5 linked regions of the Macaca fascicularis genome follow. The protein of the gene in region 4 purifies or fractionates together with the protein of the main gene of each other region. This does not show direct contact. Links are inferred from orthologs where the notes say so. Each region holds a gene or a part of one and is shown on either strand. Other genes may lie near its edges. The genes, in order: MCMBP, histone H2B type 1-B, TONSL, MCM2 and SSRP1.

What was found.
Region 1: the proteins of MCM2 (region 4) and MCMBP purify together in Homo sapiens (co-immunoprecipitation; 6 studies listed by BioGRID and IntAct, with this or other methods). This does not show direct contact. The link is inferred for Macaca fascicularis from reciprocal best matches to the Homo sapiens genes MCM2 and MCMBP.
Region 2: the proteins of MCM2 (region 4) and histone H2B type 1-B purify together in Homo sapiens (affinity purification with mass spectrometry; 3 studies listed by BioGRID). This does not show direct contact. The link is inferred for Macaca fascicularis from reciprocal best matches to the Homo sapiens genes MCM2 and H2BC3.
Region 3: the proteins of MCM2 (region 4) and TONSL purify together in Homo sapiens (affinity purification with mass spectrometry; 4 studies listed by BioGRID and IntAct, with this or other methods). This does not show direct contact. The link is inferred for Macaca fascicularis from reciprocal best matches to the Homo sapiens genes MCM2 and TONSL.
Region 5: the proteins of MCM2 (region 4) and SSRP1 purify together in Homo sapiens (affinity purification with mass spectrometry; 6 studies listed by BioGRID and IntAct, counting the BioPlex papers as one, with this or other methods). This does not show direct contact. The link is inferred for Macaca fascicularis from reciprocal best matches to the Homo sapiens genes MCM2 and SSRP1.

What each region holds. Positions count from the first base shown.
Region 1 is NC_088383.1:128,875,285-128,878,795, forward strand, and holds part of MCMBP (mini-chromosome maintenance complex-binding protein), read right to left. Parts: intron 2,945-3,511; coding exon 2,859-2,944; intron 2,241-2,858; coding exon 2,100-2,240; intron 1,985-2,099; coding exon 1,943-1,984; intron 505-1,942; coding exon 403-504; intron 1-402. UniProt on the Homo sapiens protein: Associated component of the MCM complex that acts as a regulator of DNA replication.
Region 2 is NC_088378.1:146,884,605-146,888,912, forward strand, and holds the start of histone H2B type 1-B, read left to right. Parts: upstream 1-1,502; 5' UTR 1,503-1,555; coding exon 1,556-1,932; intron 1,933-4,308. UniProt on the Homo sapiens protein: Core component of nucleosome. Nucleosomes wrap and compact DNA into chromatin, limiting DNA accessibility to the cellular machineries which require DNA as a template.
Region 3 is NC_088382.1:154,152,291-154,156,528, reverse strand, and holds the start of TONSL (tonsoku-like protein), read left to right. Parts: upstream 1-1,428; 5' UTR 1,429-1,486; coding exon 1,487-1,511; intron 1,512-1,625; coding exon 1,626-1,721; intron 1,722-1,827; coding exon of another isoform or gene 1,828-1,891; coding exon 1,892-2,034; intron 2,035-2,603; coding exon 2,604-2,787; intron 2,788-3,113; coding exon 3,114-3,243; intron 3,244-3,527; coding exon 3,528-3,699; intron 3,700-3,788; coding exon 3,789-3,903; intron 3,904-4,238. UniProt on the Homo sapiens protein: Component of the MMS22L-TONSL complex, a complex that promotes homologous recombination-mediated repair of double-strand breaks (DSBs) at stalled or collapsed replication forks.
Region 4 is NC_088376.1:155,842,210-155,846,430, reverse strand, and holds the start of MCM2 (DNA replication licensing factor MCM2), read left to right. Parts: upstream 1-1,416; 5' UTR 1,417-1,473; coding exon 1,474-1,479; intron 1,480-2,352; coding exon 2,353-2,582; intron 2,583-4,221. UniProt on the Homo sapiens protein: Acts as a component of the MCM2-7 complex (MCM complex) which is the replicative helicase essential for 'once per cell cycle' DNA replication initiation and elongation in eukaryotic cells.
Region 5 is NC_088388.1:16,285,506-16,289,016, reverse strand, and holds part of SSRP1 (FACT complex subunit SSRP1), read right to left. Parts: intron 3,464-3,511; coding exon 3,273-3,463; intron 3,169-3,272; coding exon 2,938-3,168; intron 2,804-2,937; coding exon 2,700-2,803; intron 2,598-2,699; coding exon 2,469-2,597; intron 2,207-2,468; coding exon 1,985-2,206; intron 1,262-1,984; coding exon 1,189-1,261; intron 764-1,188; coding exon 625-763; intron 472-624; coding exon 426-471; intron 1-425. UniProt on the Homo sapiens protein: Component of the FACT complex, a general chromatin factor that acts to reorganize nucleosomes. The FACT complex is involved in multiple processes that require DNA as a template such as mRNA elongation, DNA replication and DNA repair.

The sequences.
Region 1 (3,511 bases), on a different chromosome or scaffold from region 4:
TTTCTAAAAGAAATCAAAAAATTCGCCAGGGATGGTGGCACACGCTTGTGGTCCCAGCTACTTGGGAGGCTAAGGCAGGAGGATTGCTTGAACCCAGGAGGTTGAAGCAGCAGTGAGCCATGTTTGTGCCACTGCACTCCAGCCTGGGTGACAGTAAGTCCCTATCTCAAAAAAAAAAAAAAAAAATTACCTCAATCTTTTTAACAGTATTTCACTATAGAAATGTACTGTAATTTTAGCATTCCTCGGTGACAAATACTTAGCCTGTTTTATGGGTTTTCTCAATTAGAACAAATGAAACACATTTTATTGAAATAAAGCCAAGCTTTGCAAAGGATGAATAATTAAAGGTTAAGGTTTTAGAAACCATCAACACAATAAGAAAGTTCAGATAAAGGATATTTCTTTTACCCACGTAGATTCCCCAGGCACCGGAACACAATAGAAAGTCTGTCTTTCCAAAGTGGTATTTCGTGGAGAGTTTAAATCAAGTTCTTGTTGAGGCTGTGATATACATAAAAAAGTATTTTAAAAAATTTATTTAAAAACATCACAAAATTTATTTTAAAATTAGCAACCACATTTTCACATAGCACCACAACAAATATTTTACAGAGTTAACAAGTAACTAATTCCAAACTATCACTTTTTCAAAGAAAACTGATATAAAATCACTTCAAATACAGTCATCAAACACTTCCTCCCTCAAATCCAGAAAAATGGGACCTCTGTGGAGTGACTTATAATCTGGGTCTAGTTCTCTGCTTTGTGGATCTAGAACCTTACTTTTATGAGGTTATCTAGGCCTTTTTATATTCTTGGAGTCTAACTCTTGGCTTACCCAAACCTTAGGAAACTGATTTATCAAACCCCAATATCAGTCTGTTAATTCACAACAGTTGTTGCTAATTAAATATTCTAGTTCAGTAGGCAGATCTGGACAGAAAAACTGCCCTAATTTGGAAGGTTACTGCAAAGATTATATTAAACAAAAATGTAACTTCTGACAATTAGAGTAAAGAACTCATTTGAAAGACAGATTTATGTAATCTTACACATGATGAACTTCAGGTCTGTTTTTCTTTTAGAGTGTTTCCATAAAACAAATACTGTGCCCAGCTTAATGGATCAACTACATTAATGATTACGGTATTCCTCATTTAAGGAGCCCTAACACATTAGGCTAACATATTACATTACTGTATACTAGAAAAAGCTGAGTATTAATGTAACTCAGTAATCCCAGAATCTGGAAATGGGTCAATAAAATAAATGAGGCTGTGCATGTGTGACACTACCAAAGGCTAATAGAGAGTTGGTACATATGTTGCTCAAGAGTCATAAATAAAAGACTCATTCTAGGAAAAAGGTACTTTGGGCCTAGAGAGAAAAGCAAACAAAAAATCCTTGCTTGTATGTATTAGGCTCAAACTTGATGTCTCTTGGGTCCTTTCCACTTCTTAGAGTTTTCTAAGTATATATGAAAGAGAATATGCCTTTCCTAGGGAATAATATATGACTTTTGAATCTCATCTTGGAGCTACCTAGGAATGAGTATTTCATCAGATTTCTGTATTATAGGCTGATTCTGACAGTTTTCTATGAAAGAAACAGTGGAATTACCACTGGCTTTGTCTTTGAAGGAATTAAAAACGACTTAATTTTGCACCCTAGGGTACTTTGTTTTACATATATTATATACAGATATTGGAGAGAGGAATTAATTTTGGCATTAACAGTACTTCTCCTTCTAAAAGATCTCTGGAGGATTAAAAACAGTCACATCAAACTCCTAAATAAAGTCAAACAAGGAAAACATTTCACGTGATTTCTTGTAACTTATACTCAAGATAAATAAATCTAAGATTAGCTAAACAAACAAATTCTCTGTTTAGGAAAAAATTCTTACTAAAAATGTTTTATATATATTAAAGATACATACCCCACACTCTGCTACATCTCTATATTTTCCAAAATGAAGAACCTATGACCCAAAACATAGAAAAACAGAATTATATCAATATATCAGAACCAAAACTACCACAAACAGTACAAGGACAAAATTAATACCACAAATTCATGAAAACAGCAATACTTACATGTGCTTTTGTGTTTTGGTTAACCGTTTCATAAACTCCCATGTAAAACTCAGGGTCAAACATATCCTGAATCATGCAACGAAATTTCACAAAACTATTAGGTTTCAAATAATGAAGGGGAACTTCGTTCAGTGATGGTACCTTAAAGGAAAATAATCAAGTTAAGTCAACTAAATATCCTGTCTATACAACATTAAGCATATATACACAAACTTTATGTCCAGACTCAAAATTGTTAAACACACACACACACACACCCCCCATGCCTCGTCAGGGAGCCAAATGATCTCAATGGTCAACATAATTGCTGGAACCCAAGTTCTCTTCCATTTCTTCCAAGTTTTAGATAACATTTGACCATAATGTAAAAGAATGCTAAAAAATGCTTTTAATTCAGAACACTTTTCAATGATCAAAAAGGCATTTACTTTGTTGAGCTCTTCTCTTAAAACTAGCACATGCCAATTCTTTTAAAATAAAGGTAATAAAACAAAGGTAACTAACTGACTCTTGGAACTAAAGATGTGTCTCAGGAAGTAACACAGTCAGTTACTGCCACCTAGAGGCATAATGTATAAGTATTTATTTGCTTAAACTTAATTAGCAAAAGACCAAAATCTTTTAATACAAATGTACTTGAAGCAGAAGTACACATTAATTTACATATTTTTAAATTACATGGGGGTTACTTAGTTACTCTACTAAGAGAAACTTTGTAGTCTGTCCAACCTTCTCCCTCGAAAATAGCAATAAGCTTACCCACTTAGGAGCATTATTTTCCTTCAGCTTTTCCTTAAAATATTCAATTACTTTCTTCTCCCAGTCAGGATTAACTCCATTTTGTGCTGAAAGAGAAATATACTTTTCAAAGCTAATGTATATGCAATAAATAATAAGAGACTATGATCAGGTGAGTCACACAATAGTTTAGCCAGCAGAAAACAAACTAAAATTTGCTTCTACGATAGAATGAATTTTAGATAGGATGAATTTTACACTTCAGTGTGTCTGAAGTACTACACAAGACACATTCAAGAAGCTGTACTGAGCGGGGGGAGGGACAGTTACAAATCAGGAGGATGCTGACCTCCTGCAGGCTCTCTGGCACCCACAGTGTAGCTGGGGACACCTACAGAATGTGATGCAAGGCCACCTAGATTCAGCAGCATTTGAGCCACTGCTTGTAAAGCACTCTGTTCTTTTAATACATTTTATATAGTTTTTTGTTTATCTTTACAACTATCCTGAAATAAAGAGCTGAAATTTTTTTGTTTATAACTTCATTTGGGAATAATTCTAGATTCAAAAAAGTTGGAAAGAACACTTGTATCCTTGCCCCATTTGCTTATCATCTGCTCCATCTCTTATATTTTTCTGATTCATTTAAGATTAAGTTGCACTATCAGGTATTT
Region 2 (4,308 bases), on a different chromosome or scaffold from region 4:
CGCCCATCATGTCCTTTTTGTTTGTTATCTGCAGGGATAAATTGTCTAAAATTCTAGTTCATCCAGTCCCAAAGAACAAGGTACATAACAAAGCATCTACGGATTTTTTTAATGTAAATTCCGATTCAGTAAGTTTGCGTGGGACTTGAAATTCTGCATTCCTGACAGTCTTGAAAGTTATCAGTGCTGGTGAACACTCACTAAACCACCAGAAACGTTGACTGCCTCATGTCGGAAACTACTTACATTCAGAGAATGAGAATTCCATGCTATTTTGTTACTGGTCAACAGCCAGTTTCCTTATCCTTCGTTTTCTAAGTCCAAGTCACATTCCCACCCTGACTGTTCTCAAACTGTCTTATTTTGGTTGGCTTTAGTTTCACTTTGTATACTCTAAAATGTAGTTTCTTAAAGAAGATATTTCCTCGAAACTTAATTTTTAAACACCATTAGGCTAGGGGGGCCGTGGCTCACGCCTGTAATCCCAGCATTTTGGGAGGGCAAGATGGGAGGATCACTTGAGGCCAGGAGTTCAAGACAACCCTAGCTAAAATGGTGAAAACCCCGTCTCGAATAAAAATACAAAAATTGGCTAGGCGTGGTAGCAGACGCCTGTAATCCCAGGTACAAAGGAGGCTGAGGCATGAGAACCTGGTGAAGCCGCGGGGTGGAGGTTGCAGTGAGCCGATATCGCGCGGCGGCATTCCAGCTTGGGTGACAGAGCGAAACTCTGTCTCAAACCAATCCAAACCAAAACCAAAAGGTACCCGAAACACAAGCAAGTTACCATCCTTTCTTGTGAAACAATGGACGGTTCTGAAAAATGCCGTAGCAAGTTTAAGGTACGTTTTCTGGCTTGAGTGGGCTTTACTTGCTTTTGGCCTTATCGTGGTTCTCGGTTATTTTTGCAACAGGACGGCCTGAATATTGGCCAGGACGCCTCCCTGAGTAATAGTGACTTTGCCCAGCAGCTTGTTGAGCTGCTCGTCGTTGCGGAAGGCCAGCTGCAAGTGGCGGGGGATGCTATGGGTCTTGTCACGTATGGCGCTGCGTGTCAGCTCCAGGATATCGGCGGCCAGGTATTCTAAGTACAGCGGCGCGCCGGCTTCGACAGGCTCAGAATAATTGCCCTTTCGAAAAAGACGATGGACCCTGCGCTACTAGAAACTGCAAGGCTGGTACCGATGAACAACTTTGTGCTTTACTTCCGTTTTCCATGTCCAAACACAGCGACCTCTGAAAACTGTAAAAAACAAGCAAGATGGAATGGCGCCTGAAGAAATACTTTTATACAAACTGCAAGGCTGCAATAGAGAGTTATCCTATTGGTCAATTATGTTTCCTGCTTTATCCAATAGAAAAAGAGTCCATAAATTCCATATTTGCATAAACCCCACCCCTCAGTGAAACTGTATTTCTTTTATCCAATCAGAAGTGAGGAATCTTAAACCGTCATTTGAATCTCAGGACTATAAATACGTGGGCTCTGAACTGTTCTCTCTACTACTCTGCTGGAGAGTGTTAGTAGCTTTTTTGTTTTGTTTTAGGAATAGCGATGCCTGAACCCTCTAAGTCTGCTCCTGCCCCTAAAAAGGGCTCTAAGAAGGCCATCACTAAGGCGCAGAAGAAGGATGGTAAGAAGCGTAAGCGCAGCCGAAAGGAGAGCTATTCCATCTATGTGTACAAGGTTCTGAAGCAGGTCCACCCCGACACCGGCATCTCCTCCAAGGCCATGGGGATCATGAACTCCTTTGTCAATGACATCTTCGAGCGCATCGCGGGCGAAGCTTCCCGCCTGGCGCACTACAACAAGCGCTCGACCATCACCTCCAGGGAGATCCAGACGGCTGTGCGCCTGCTGCTGCCCGGGGAACTGGCTAAGCATGCTGTGTCCGAGGGCACCAAGGCTGTTACCAAGTACACTAGCTCCAAGTAAGTGCTTATGTAAGCACCTCCAAACCCAAAGGCTCTTTTCAGAGCCACCTACTTTGTCGCAAAGAGAGCTATAACCACAATTTCTTAAGGTGGTGCTGCCTCTGTTCTGCTTCAGTTCTAGAGGATCAACTAGAATGTTAGCGAAGGCAACTTTTAGAGCCAAGGTTAACTTGGGGCAGCGCGCCGTGGCTGTCGCCTTTAATCCCAGCATTTTGGGAGGCCGAGGCGGGCGGATCACTTGACGTCAGGAGTTCGAGACTAGCCCGGCCAACATGGTCTCTATTAAAAATACAAACGTTAGGAGGGTGCTGGCGCTCTTTCTCATCTGCCTTTAGCAAACTTCTTTGTTCCCCCTGGGTAAGCCTTCGGGTACTAGTTGTAATTCATTTGATATGGTCACTACTCCCTCCCTGGTCTAGCACAGGAAACTTTCCTTTCTGGATAATGAAACAAGTAATGCAATTCAGGGTACAGTGTTTCTATGGGGGTCATTAGCCGTTAACCGCTTGAGATGAGGGGGAGGGGAGCAGAAAAGTCTAAGCGACAAAAGGGCGTGTAGGGATATTTGCTCCTGCAGTTTGCCTATGCTGTAAATTCTTACCTCCAGTAAGAAGGAAAGATTTCCTCCAGTATTGAGGAAACAGTAAGCGAAGTCTGATTTCCCGGGCGCCTTTGTAGGGAATATTTCCCGTTCCACAAAATGAAATCGCAGTAGTTTTGCGTTATAATTGTTTATCAATGACAACAGCTATGTAGTTTACATATTTCATGCATCCCAGAAATCCAGATTCCCATTTCCTAGGCCACTTAAAATTCGGATTTCCAGCTCTGCGAGATACAAAAGGGTTTGAATTTTGTGCCTTTCCCCAACTGGCCCTACTGCAAAGATACTAGGAAGGCCCCACTTGGAGAGGGAAGCATTTTTCAAGAAATCCGGGACGCCAAAAACAATATAGCTAGAAAAAGGCAGGAAGGGTACTAGTTGAGGAGGACTTAATGGGCCAATTCTTGGTCTGGGGCTGGGGGAAGAAATGGAAGAAGAAAAGAACCTGTTGATTGCACACTAAGTAGGAGGGGATGGGGGAATCGGAGGGGAGTATTTTAAGTGAACTTACGGGCATTATATGTAGGTGACATTCAGCAGTGTCTTCGGATGAAGAAATAAAGTTTCTCAAACAGTTATTGTTTCTGTTTTGAGAAATGGTCTTGCTCTGTTGGCCAGGTGCCATCATAGCTCACTGCAGCCTCGACTTCTCCAGCTCAAGCTATCCTCTAACTTCAGCCCCTTGAGTACCTGGGACTACAGAAATGCGCCACCACACCCAGTTAATTTTTTAATTTTTTGTGGAGGCAAAGGGTCTTACTATCTTGCCCAGGCTGGTCAAGTGAACTCCTGGGCTCAAGTGATCCTCCCGCCTTGGCCTCCCAAAGTGCTGAGATCGTAGGAATGAGTCACCGCGCCCGGCCCAGATTTAATTTTTAAGAATATTTTAAAAGAGGTTCTGGGCCGGGTGTGGTGCAGCTCACGCCTGTAATACCAGCACTTTGGGAGGCCAAGGTGGGAGGATCACTTGAGCCTAGGAGCTCAAGACCAGTCTGGGCAACTTAGTGAGTCTGTCTCCACCAAAAATTTAAAAATTAACCAGGCCTGGTGGCACATTTCTGTAGTCCCAACTACTGGGGAGGTTGAAGTGGGAGGATCATTTGAGCCTGGAAGGTGGAGGTTGCAGTAAGCTGTGATGACACCACTGCACTCCAGCCTGGGTGAGGACAGACCCTGTCTCAAAAATAAAAAAAAAATCTGGATGCCACACAAAATGTCAGTGAACAACTGTAAGTGAAGCACTTCCCATCCTAGTACTGTATATGCAAACTACCGTTGTGAAAGAGACGCTTGTGTTTTAAAAAATCTATAATTTTTTTTAAAATTATAAAACGACCACCTCCCCCAAAACATTACTAAGCAATTGAGGCTGCAGTTTAAGAAACTGATATTTAGGATCTTTCCCCGGAGAAGTGAGACCTGCTAATATAAGCATTTGCAAAATGAACTTTTGGGCCAGGTGCATCATGCCTGTAATCTCAGCACTTTGGGAGACTTAGTCAGGCAGACCACTTGAGCTCACAATTCGAGACCAGCCTGGGCAACATGGCGAAATCCAGTCTCTACAAAAAATTAGCTGGGCGTTGTGGCATATGCCTATAGTTCCAGTTACTAGAGAGGCTGAGGTGGGAGGATTACTTGAGCCTGGGAGGTAGAGGTTGCAGCAAGCCAAGATCGCGCCGTGACAACCTGAGTGACAGAATGAGACACACCCCCCCAAAAAAACAGCCTGACTCATTAAAAAAAAAATTTAAAAATATTAAGTTTTG
Region 3 (4,238 bases), on a different chromosome or scaffold from region 4:
TTTCTCTCTCTCTTCCTTTTTTTTGAGATGGAGTCTTACTCTGCCGCCCAGGGTGGAGTGCAGTGGTGCGATCTCGGCTCACTGCAAGCTCCGCCTCCCAGGTTCACACCATTCTCCTGCCTCAGCCTCCCGAGTGGCTGGGACTACAGGCACCCGCCACCATGCCCGGCTAATTTTTTGTATTTTTTGTAGAGACAGGGTTTCACCGTGTTAGCCACGATGGTCTCGATCTTCTGACCTCGTGATCCGCCCGCCTTGGCCTCCCAAAGTGTTGGGATTACAGGCGTGAGCCCAGGAAGAGTGCGCCTGGCCCTCTCTTCCTCTTTCTTTTCCTCCCTCCCTCCTTTCTTTTTTTTAAATAAAAATGGGGTATCAGGCCGGACGTGCTGGCTTATGCCTATAATACCAGCACTTTGGGAGGCCGAGGTAGGCGGATCACGAGGTCAGGAGTTTGAAACCAGCCTGGCCAGCATGGTGAAACCCCGTTTCTACTAAAAATGCAAAAATTAGCCGGGCATGCTGGCACATGCCTGTAGTCCCAGCTACTTGGAAGGCTGAGGCAGGAGAATCGCTTGAACTCAGGAGGAGGAGGTTGTGGTGAGCTGATATCGCACCATTGCACGCCAGCCTGGGCGACACAGCGAGACTCACACACAAACACGCACACACACAAAAAGATGGGGGTCTCACTATGTTGCCCAGGCTGGTCTCGAACTGCTAGGCTCAAGCGATCCTCCTGACTGCACCTCCCAAGGCGCCTGGATTACAGTGCGGGCCAGTGCGCCCGGGCTACTTCTGCAGCTTAAGCGCAGGTTCACTGACTCTTCCGAGAATACAGCTGACATATACGTTGCTGAAACGGTACTTGTTTACTACGGAAAGCACATTCCCCTACCAGAACATTCCTTGGGGCCGAGTCCCCAAATGTGACCCACTGCGTTCTGTGGAGGAGGAGCGCACCTTATTCCGTCCCCACAGCCAAATGCTCGTGAACTTATCGTCAGTCTTCTATCTGGACCCTACGTGCGTTTTTCACAGTTGCGCGTGTGAGCAGGTTGTGTGTGAATTTCAGGAGGAACTGGGGCGGCGGCACAGCTCGTCCACCTTGAGAGGCGCGGGCGGCACGCGGGCTGCAGTTCAGAAGAGCCCACCCAGGGCGCGCTGCGACCCCGGCCTCCCGTGTCCCCGCCTCCTGCGAGGAGGAACGGGGTCCCCATCAGGCACTCCCCGGGCAGGGCAGAGGGCTCCACGCGCGGGCCAACCTCGGCGTCCGGGAAGATAACTCCTCGGGTCGACGCCCTAGTTGTCGCCGCGTCCCCGCCCCAGCTCCTCCCACACTAGAACTTCGAGGATGTCGCGGGCGGACCGTACTTCCCAGCATGCCCCGCGCCCACCGCCGCCGTCGAGGGGCGGGGCCTGCGTGTCGGCGGCGAGGGGCGGGGCCGCGGCGCAGCGCGGGAAGTCCAGATCCCGCGGCGACCCGAGCATGAGCCTGGATCGCGAGCTTCGCCGTGAGTCCCTCGGGGGCCCCTTGCGCCGGGGGCACGGAGGCTAGGGAGGGTCTGGGACTCGGCCCCGGCCCCGAATCCCGCCGCGGAGGCTCAGCTCTCCTCTTCCTCCGACAGAGCTGAGCAAGGCGAAGGCCAAGGCGCAGAGGGCCGGGCAGCGGCGCGAGGAGGCAGCGCTGTGCCACCAGCTGGGGGAGCTCCTGGCCGGCCATGGTGAGCGCTGGGACCAGGAAGCGGGGTGCACGGCCGGGGGCTGGGGGCTGGGGGCTGGGGCCCGCGCCGGGGTCGGGGGCCGGGGGTCGACGGGCTCTTCCCGCAGACGCCGCCCCAGGTCCGCCCTCGCACCCGCGACGCCTGCCAGGCCGTGCTGTGTCCCCGCCTAGGCCGCTACGCCGAAGCCCTGGAGCAGCACTGGCAGGAGCTGCGGCTCCGGGAGAGCGCTGACGACCCCCTGGGCTGTGCCGTGGCCCACCGCAAGATCGGAGAGCGCCTGGCCGAGATGGAGGACTACCCGACTGCCTTGCAGGTGCGGGCGCCCTCACTGGCCTCGCCCAGCCCGGTCGGCCTCTGTTTGGAGCCCTTTTCTGAGGAGGGAGGCCCGGTCTTCACCGTCAGGAGCCTCGGGCTGGAAGGGACACCTGGCCTGACGCAGCCTTAACTTCACCGCGCCGGCCCAGTCCTCCAGTGGGGACCCCCCAGCCTTTCCTGGGACTGGGGCAGGAGTAGGTTTCCTGGCACCAGAAACCATTAATGAATGTTATTTTAGCTGTGTTTGTGTTGGGGGTGGTCAGGCCCCAGCCCGAAAGCTCTCCCTGACCCTGGCTGCTGGAGGCAGGACTGCAAACCCCCACCCCACCAATCCCCAGCCGCCCCTCCCCACGTGACAGCGTTGGCTGCATACAGCGTGAAGCCACTGTCACCACAGAGAGGCCTTGGCATGCAGAGGAGGGGCATGTGGCCGACCTTGGCCTGCTCTGTGGGGGTTAAGGGGAGCAGGAGTCTTTCCTTAGCAAGAACAGGGTCTCTGGGAATCTGGCAGCGCTGGTTTGCTTGAGGCGGGGTCAGCTCACAGCAGTGACTTCCTTCCACACTCAGCACCAGCACCACTACCTGGAGCTAGCACATTCCCTGCGCAACCACACGGAGCTGCAGAGGGCCTGGGCCACCATCGGCCGCACCCACCTGGACATCTATGACCACTGCCAGTCGAGGGATGCTCTGCTGCAGGCACAGGCTGCCTTTGAGAAGAGCTTGGCTATTGTGGATGAGGAGCTGGAGGGTGGGCAGGCCCCTTCTCGTTTTCTGCCTCCTGAACTGCAGGCTGAAGAGGCTGCAGCCCAGCACCCCCGCAGCCTCCTTGGGCGATCTCGTCTTCTGGGGCCCTCCCTTTGCAGGGCTCTTGTGTGAGGGGTGCATGCCCTCCGCAACCTTTTCCCTGGAGATCCTCGGCTCTTTATCCACTCTGTGCTCTGTCTGCAGCAGGACCCTTGCCCCAACATCGGGAGGAGGGAGAGGGTAGGAGAGGCACTGCACAGGCCCCAAATGGGGCCCAAAGCTGGAAACCCCATGTGGGGAGAAAGTGGCTGAGTGGGGGGCATCTTCCAGGGACACTGGCTCAGGGAGAGCTGAATGAGATGAGGACCCGCCTCTACCTCAACCTGGGTCTTACCTTTGAGAGCCTGCAGCAGACAGCCCTGTGCAACGATTACTTCAGGAAGAGCATCTTCCTTGCGGAGTAAGGCCCCACCCCACCCCAGGAGAGAGTGGAGTCCCTTGTTCCTGGAGGAAGTAGTTAGGGGAGTATTTCTCCCAGGGTCCTCCTGAGAGAGCACCCTGGCTGGGCCTCATCCCCCACCTCTCACACCTGTGCCTCACACTGGGCGAAGACCAGGCATGGTTAGGGCCCTGAGACCATAGCATGGCAGGGCTGGGGCCTGTGTGGCATCAGCAGCTATCACCGGTGGGACGCTCCTGGGTGCTCAGGAGCTCGTAGGTGCTCAGGCCATCACCCCTCTGCAGGCAGAACCACCTTTACGAGGACCTGTTCCGCGCCCGCTACAACCTGGGCACCGTCCACTGGCGCGCGGGCCAGCACTCCCAGGCTATGCGCTGCTTGGAGGGTGCCCGGGAGTGTGCGCACACCATGAGGAAGCGGTTCATGGAGAGCGAGTGCTGCGTGGCCATCGCACAGGTACCCGCTGTGTGTGGTTCCGAGCTCAGGCTCCTGGAGACTTGGGCCTTGGGGATTTTGCAAAAACCGTGCTGTCCTTTGCTCTCCAGGTCCTCCAAGACCTGGGAGACTTTCTGGCTGCCAAGCGAGCCCTGAAGAAGGCCTACAGGCTGGGCTCCCAGAAGCCTGTGCAGAGAGCAGCCGTCTGTCAGAACCTCCAGCATGGTGAGCCTGGGGCTGAGGTGGGGCCCCGGGGGTGTGGGGTGGGGGGGGGGTGAGGGGGGTGAACCTCCCGCATGGTGAGCCTGGGGCCGGGGTGGGGCCCCGGGAGTTGTGTGCAGGGGCGAGCCCAGGGGGGCGTGGAGTCCTGCCAGGTGTGTACGGAGCTCCCTCCCTCACAGAGGAGGCATGAGCACCTGTCCTTGGAGGCAGCAGCTTCCGCAAGAGGGACAGGTGCCCTAGTTCCTGACAGGAGAAAACCCCCGTTTTTCTCTGAGCTCAACACAGTGTGTCAGGGGCACTGAAAGGGCGGCCAGGAGACCAGTTGGGCTTTTATTTTG
Region 4 (4,221 bases):
GTTGGTCTTCCTGTGCGTTCCCATCTCAGCTATCATTCCCCTAGCTAAACCAGGATCCTGGTGTCATCCTGCATGCCTCTTTTGCTGTACTCAATCACCAACACCAATAGACCCCACCTCCTGGCTGGGCACGGTGGCTCACGCCTGTAATCCCAGCACTTTGGGAGGCCAAGGCAGGCAGATCCACTTGTCAGGAGTTGGAGATCAGCCTAGCTAACAATGGTGAATTCCCATCTCTACCAAAAATACAAAAATTAACCGGGCATTATGGCGTGCATCTGTAATCCCAGCTACTCAGGAGGCTAAGGCATGAGAATCACTTTGGGAGGTGGAGGTTGCAGTGAGCTGAGATTGCGCCACTGCACTCCAGCCTGGGTGACAGAGTAAGACTCTGTCTCAAAAAGAAAAAAAAAAAAAAGAAAGAAAAAGAAAAAGAAAAAAGATCCCACCTCCTAAACATCTTGTATTTCCAGTTCTCTCCATCACTCCTGCCCCTACCCTGGGTCCCATGCAGAGATGCTTATTCACTGCACAAAGTGCCTGGCTAAGAGGGCTGCGATTCAGCCCTGCCTCTGCTCACTAAGGCTGCCTGTAACTAGACAAGAACCACAACAACCTCCTCATTTGCTGCCTTCAACCTTGTTCAATCCACTTCCACCTGGTAGCAGCCGTAGGGATTCTAAAACACACACCGGTTCACGTCTCACCCTGCTCAAAATGCTTTCATGGTCTTCCATTGCCTTCAGAATACAGAATAGTCAAACTCTCTAGAAAAACATCTAACTCTTTTTTGATCCGGATTTTCTCTCCCTCAAGTCTTGTCCATTGCCCGGCATCATAAGCTCCTAGCCTTAGTTCTTAGGCAGGGGCTTGCACATCCGGGCCGTGCCATGCCCTCTGCGGCTTTGCACATGGCATCCTTCTATCTGTAACATTCTCCCTGCGTCTTCGCTCCCCTGGGCAAGGATAACTCCTACTAAAGCCTCAGATGTGACCTACAAAATCCCAGAGTTGTCCAGCTACTTGAAGCATTGAGCCTTTGAGCTTTGGGAGAAGTTAAAACATTCTGCTCCTAAGACAGTAAGAAGGCGTCGGAAAACCAGGCTCTGGACCTCTGTTGCCTTGTCAGTAAAATGGCCCTGGTGTGACCGAGGTCACGTAGCCAGCAAGTGTCGTCGGGGGCCCTGGAACCACAGCTCCTACCTCCACCCCGGCTCCCACTCCAGCTCAGGAGAGCGCACGCGCACAGCGCCCCGCCGCCCACCCTCAGGCTCTGGGCGGGACCTCCGGGCGGCGTGGGCGGGACCCGACTCTTTGGCCCACCCCTCCGTGTCCCCGCTGCTCGCCAGTGGACGCCGACGTCATGACGTCGCGTTCCGTAGGGCTCTTACCCGGCTTTGGTGGGTCACGTGAGCTACTTTTCGCGCGAAACCTGGTTGTTGCTGGAGTGGCTGAGAGGATCGTGGTACTGCGATGGCGGTGAGCGCGCTGGCGCGGGGCGGGCGGGATGGTGCGGGCGCCGGGGTCATGGGTGCGGAGGCTGCGCGCTTCCCGTACTCTTGCCCCGGCCCGGGTCGGCGCTCTGGGTGAGGTGGGGCCTCAGGCTCTGGGGCGCAGCTGCTTTCTCGCCTGCACCCCGCGTGACGCTAGGCCACCTGGCGACTCGTCTCCCCACCACTGACCTGGGGCCCTGGGTTCCCTAAGCCGCGCCCGACCCGCTCAACCCGTGTCCTTTATTCACCGCACACGTGCTTATTGAGCGCCATCTGTATGTCTGGCGCTGAGTGTACAAAAGACAGGCCCCCATCTCACTGCACTTCTTAAAACTTTTTTTTTTTTTCAATTTCCCAATGATCCTTGTTCTGAATGCTACATTTACTTTCGTATTACTTTCTTGTCCCTTTGTCTTGTGTACTGTCTGTTTCACATCTGAGTTCCAGACCTCTTGTTTTGGTGGCTCTTCTATGCCATCTCTATCACAATACCTTGCACACTGTGTGTGCTGAAATAGCTCTAATGCTTAAGGGGGAGATAGTAGACAATAAACAGGTAAATAGGCAAATGACATAACCTCAGTGGTTTTTCATGGAGAAAGCACGGTGATGTGGGTGACCCGCTATTTGAGCTGCCTCCTATTTGTTTGGAAGCCACTGGCTCGGATTGCCCAGCAGAGAGCATTCCAGCTGAGAGAACAGCAAGCGCAAAGATCTGGAGGCTGGAAGGGGATTGGTGTGTTGGAGGACAAGAGTCACAGGTGGAGAGAGAGGAGGGAAGAACCCTGATAGTAAAAAGGAAGCTGTATCATGCCTCACCAGCTTCTTAGGTTTCTGACAGCGGCACTTTCTCTTGCAGGAATCATCGGAGTCCTTCACCATGGCATCCAGCCCGGCCCAGCGTAGGCGAGGCAATGATCCTATCACCTCCAGCCCTGGCCGAAGCTCCCGGCGTACTGATGCCCTGACCTCCAGCCCTGGCCGTGACCTTCCACCCTTTGAGGATGAGTCTGAGGGGCTCCTAGGCACAGAGGGGCCCCTGGAAGAAGAAGAGGATGGAGAGGAGCTCATTGGAGATGGCATGGAAAGGTAATTTCAATCAATGCCCTGGACTCAGCAGACAATTTTGCAGAGAGCCCATTGTGTGTCTGGTGGCCTGGCTTTGGGAGCTGGGAACAAATGAATCTGATGGCATTCTTGCCTTTGAGCACAGGTTGATCCAGGGTTCTGGGGAGACAGGTTTACAGAGCCGTGACATAGGTTTCTTTAACTTACTGTATGTAACTTGGAAAGACTAGACCCTAAGGGTTGGATAAGCCTAACTCCATAAGCACCCCAGGTAATGCAGAGCTCTCTAATCTGGAGGACTGCAACTCAAAAAGACAGGAAGCAGGAAGCCCAGTGTTTCTTGGTAACTTTTCAAAGGAAAGGTGCATGGGGGAGGAGGGATCTGATAAATAAAGTTTTAGAGTCAATCAGCAACCGTTTATTATACGTAATGTGCACCATGCCCTTTGTTAGGAATGGTCTTGTTTATTAGTAAACATGTGTTGGCCGGGCATGGTGGCTCACACCTGTAATCCCAGCACTTTGGGAGGCCGAGGTCGGCGGATCACCTGAAGTCAGGAGTTTGAAACCAGCCTGGTCAACATGGTGAAACCCCGTCTCTACTAAAAATACAAAAAATTAGCCAGGCGTGGTGGTGCATGCCTGTAGTCCCAGCTATTCAGGAGGCTGAGGCAGGAGAATCGCTTGAACCCAGGAGGCGTAGGTTGCCGAGAGCCGAGATCATGCCACTGCACTCCAGCTTGGGCGACAAGAGTGAAACTCAATCTCAAAAATAAATAAATAAATACATAAATAGGTTATCAAGACTTAATGCTAGGAGAGTGGAGTAAGCTCTGCGCATGAGCAAGGCTAGATTTCTACTCCTGCCTTACTCTGCGTTTCCAGCTGGGATCTGGTAGATATGTCAGTAGCGGAGTTGTGTGAATGCCCAGGAGCCTCGTGGAGATGCTCCTTTTGTGCCTTTCCAGCCTTAGCGTGTGTGAGAGTACCGTGCAGGGCGTCCTGCCATCCCTAGGATGTCAGACAGCTGAGGGGCTTTCAAGGGCACTCCAGACTGGATGGATCTTTGCTGTTACCAGTACCACCCCCAACGATGAGACTGCACATGCTGTAGACTGTAGAAGGAATGAGGAGTCTTTGGATAAATCCACCCTGGACTTGGGGTCAGGGCATGGGGCCTGGACGGCTTCCCCATTCTGCTCAGTGGAGTTGTTCAGGCCGGATGCTCCTCCTCCACTGTGTCCTCTCCCTGTCTTGACCCTTTCTCTTTGCTTCTCTTTTCCTTCAGAGAGTGAGAGGCCCTTGGCAGGGGGCTTCTGGGTAGAGGTAGCTGAGGGATAGCTGAGCCCAATTACATTTGTTTTTGTGGTTTTTCAAAAAAATTTTTATTGGGCTATAGTTTTTTAGAGTTTGCCCCTTGCAAAAATACAATTCAATGCAAATTCAGTGTAAATTTCCTGAATTATGCAGGCTTCACCACAATCCAGTGTAAGAACAGGGCCATTGTCCCATTGATGTCCCTCCTGCCTGCTTATAGTTCATTCTCAGTTCTTACCCAACCCACGGGCAACTGAGAATCCACTTACTGTCTCTAGATTTTCCAATCTGGTAATTTCATATAAATTGAATCATATTATATATGCCCTTTTGTGATGAGCTT
Region 5 (3,511 bases), on a different chromosome or scaffold from region 4:
TATTTCCTTTTAAAGTGAGAGTGAGTCACATTTCTGACACTGCTAATAAAAAGTCGGTACTACTGCATTTCTACCGATGAGGAAATTGAGATTCAATGACTTAATCGACAACCTCCAGGAAATAAGTGACAAGTACCAGCTCTCATTCCCATTCTCTCCTCATCCAACTACGAACCAGCCCCAACTGGCATATTCAGGGTGGTATGGCCATAGACCCCACTATACTTTTCTGACTTCAAAATGTGCCTTGCACTTACGAAGCCCTTGACAATTTCCAAAACATTTTGTGTATCACCTCATTGGAGGTCACTCTCCCATTCCGGGTCAGTAGCTAATGCTGGGACATGAGAAATGTCCAGAAATCTTCTGGTCCTTTAAGCTTATGGGTCACCATCTTATCCCCACAAGGTACCACCAAAACTCACTCCTCTGCCACATCTTCCTCCTCTTCACCTGGGTTGAATGACTCATCTGAAAAAGGGCACAGGACGCATCAGCTTCTGCCCCAATGGAAATCCCCACCCCCTCACCCAGGCACCCAGCTCTGGCCTAAGGGTGAGTCCAGCCCGGGCCACAGCAAGGAACATCTGACCATCCTCGTGCTCAGCACGGAGGCTAACCCACCGGTTTCTTCTCCCGAGTCATCGCTGCTGTCATTGGCATTCTCCTCCCGGATCTTGCCTTCCTCCTTCATCCTCTCCAAGTAGGCATCATGCTGGTCCTCATCAGAGTCGGCATATTCGTCGTAGCTTGGGTTCATGCCCTAGCCAGGGAAGAGTTCACAGTGGGGCCAACTCACCCTCGAGCCAGAATCCCTGCACACTCAAAAGCACACCCCCATGCCTGTCAAGTCAGAGCAGCAGCTCCCAGAGGACCTGGGGCTGGATTGTCCACACACAGCCAACGTGCAGGGCCTACGCCCAAGTACTTCCTGCCAACTGGGTTAGTCCAAGCCCCAAGCCCCTCCCTCTCCCAGCCCCACTGGGGGCTCCTGAGGGGCTGCATAGACTGGTCTAAGGTCATGCAGAGGAAACCTGCACCAGGAGGGGGAAAGGGTCACACGCACCTCTTTTTTCTATAAGGGTAAGAAGAGAAGAAAGAGTGAAAAAGAAGCCGGAAAAAATCTCCACCCCTTTCTCCCCTACAGAAAGACCAGGAGAGGGTCTCATGCTCCCCACACAGAAGTACCTCTTTCAATCCTCGGTTTTTGATGTTGAGTTTTTTCGCATTGACAAAATCAAACAGTTTCCCATACTCCTCCCTGTGAGGGGACATGCACCATGTTACCAGAGAGGTAGTGCTGACACAGGGGCGGACTAAACAACGTTCTGATTCCATGAGCTGGGGTAGACTGTGGAGCCTGGAGTTCCTGACCATGCCACCCAACCCAACAGCTTAGAGACCCCCAGAGGACAGCAGTAAGGCAGAGCCAGAGCCTGACATTAGTCCTGAAAGAGGAACCTGCATGGCTGTGAAGAGCTCTGGGAAAGAAAAGGCAGGGAGGGGTGCGCATCTGTTTACCAAATAAGCTCAGGGCGGAGTAAGTGTGGGGCAGGGGGTGTGGTCATCTGTCTTCATACTTCACAAGGTTGATATGAGGATTACACGTGAAAATGCTTATAAAACATTTAGCTCACAGTGAGCACTAAATAAGCATTAGCTGCTATGTTCTCAGGCACAAAACTCATTCCAGGAAAGAAATAGCATTTCCATTGTGGGGAGTGGAGGAGAAAAAAGGTCAGTAGTGAAGACATAGCTTTCAGAATACAGAAAAAGTTTTTCGTTGTTTTTTTTAAATGACCAGAAAGAAAGCAATGGAGAGATTTCTAAAGTCTGAGCACTCCAGGGAAAATGACCAAATCCTGATGTAGCAGAAGAAAAATTCTGCTCTAGGGTTGGAGAGTGCCGCAGGCCATGCTGGGTTTCCTGGACAAAGCTGGCTCAGGACCAGGATGCCCAGAAAGTGACGGGTGGAGGTTCTCACCTCTCAATGCTGCTGAAGGTATACTGAGTGCCCTGCTTGGTCTCAATTTCAAAGTCAAAGGAACGAGTTGTAGTGGTACCACGAGCAAAGTTGACAAAGGAGATCTCGTCGAAGCGGATGTGTACAGGTGGCTTGTGGACGTAGATGAAGCCCCGCTCCAGCGGGTAGAGCAGTCCTGAGCTCGCCTTGTAGGAACAGGTAATGCACTGGGCCCCTGAGTGCCTGACAGAGGGTGCAGGGAGCCTGGTTAGTGCCAACCTCAGCAGAAGCAAAGGGCACATCTAGCAGCAGCGACATGTGTGCTCATGTCCTCGACTAAGTAAACCTCACTGAGCTGTTCTGACAGAGGCGCTGACACCTGTTGTGACACAAGGTCCCATCCAGACCTGTAACAGGCTGCAATCCCATCTCAGGAGGGGTTTACCAAGGAGACACAGCATTTCCCATACCCAGGCAGGGCAGGATCCCAGGCCCACACGCTCACCCTTGGAAGTTGCCTGGCACTGTGATCTTGCGGTTCACCAGCGCTTTCATGACCCGGCTGACCATCTCATAGAGGGATCCTGACATGTTCTTGGTGAGACGACCCTCGAAGCGCTTCTCCACTTCTTCCCTACAAAGACAGCAAGGTGAGGTCACAACACTACTGCCTTCTAATGGCACACCTGTCTCCGGCCTGGACAGTGGCAGGAAACGAGTCCAGGGAGACACTCACTCGTTCATGTTCAGAGTCAACGAAATGTCCTCGTCCTTGGAGAAGAGGAGGATCAGGAAGTGGTAGCGAGTTTGGCCTTGCTTGATTGGGGGGTCCAGGCTGATCTAGTAAGGAAGAGCACCAATTGATACTCTACAACAACTTGCGATTCACTAACATAGAATTCTGCACACCAGTGAGGTCCGTCTACTTAACACGCAAAAACCACGATTATCCGGCCATAGGGGTTTCGGCTTACCACAAAGAACATCTGTCGCTGGTCCTTGTGGGGTAACAAAAACAGACGCAGCACTGTGGTATAGGGGATCTTGTAGTCAAAGGTCTTGCCATGCAGGTGCAGAAAGGTGGGGTAGATCCGAATGTCGTAACGCCCTCGAGGAGTCAGACACTGCAGCTCCCGGAAGATGCAGATGGCATCTCCCGTGGCCTGGATTACATCCGCCTTCGACAACACATTCTGGGCAAAGGCCTGCAAAAAGCACACATTGGTAACCAAGCAGCAGGCCCTGCTCCCAGGCCAGCCAATGCCTGCTCAGCACCATCTGCTGCCAAGGCAACCAGGGGACGCCTCACCTCAACAGGGTCCACACCATCCTCCTGGGTGGGAGGGACATAAAAGCGGACCTCCATGAGAGACACCTCTGCGTCATCGTTTTGGTGGAATTCCAGTGTCACCTCATTCTTGCCAGTGGTGCACTGGGACACATTGCTGAGGGGTATCTCAAAGACTGGCTGGTCACCAATGTCAAAGGAAAGCAGCTGCCCTGTGAGGAAAGGGCTTGTCAAGCCACAAGCTCCTCCCCTTAAGTCTG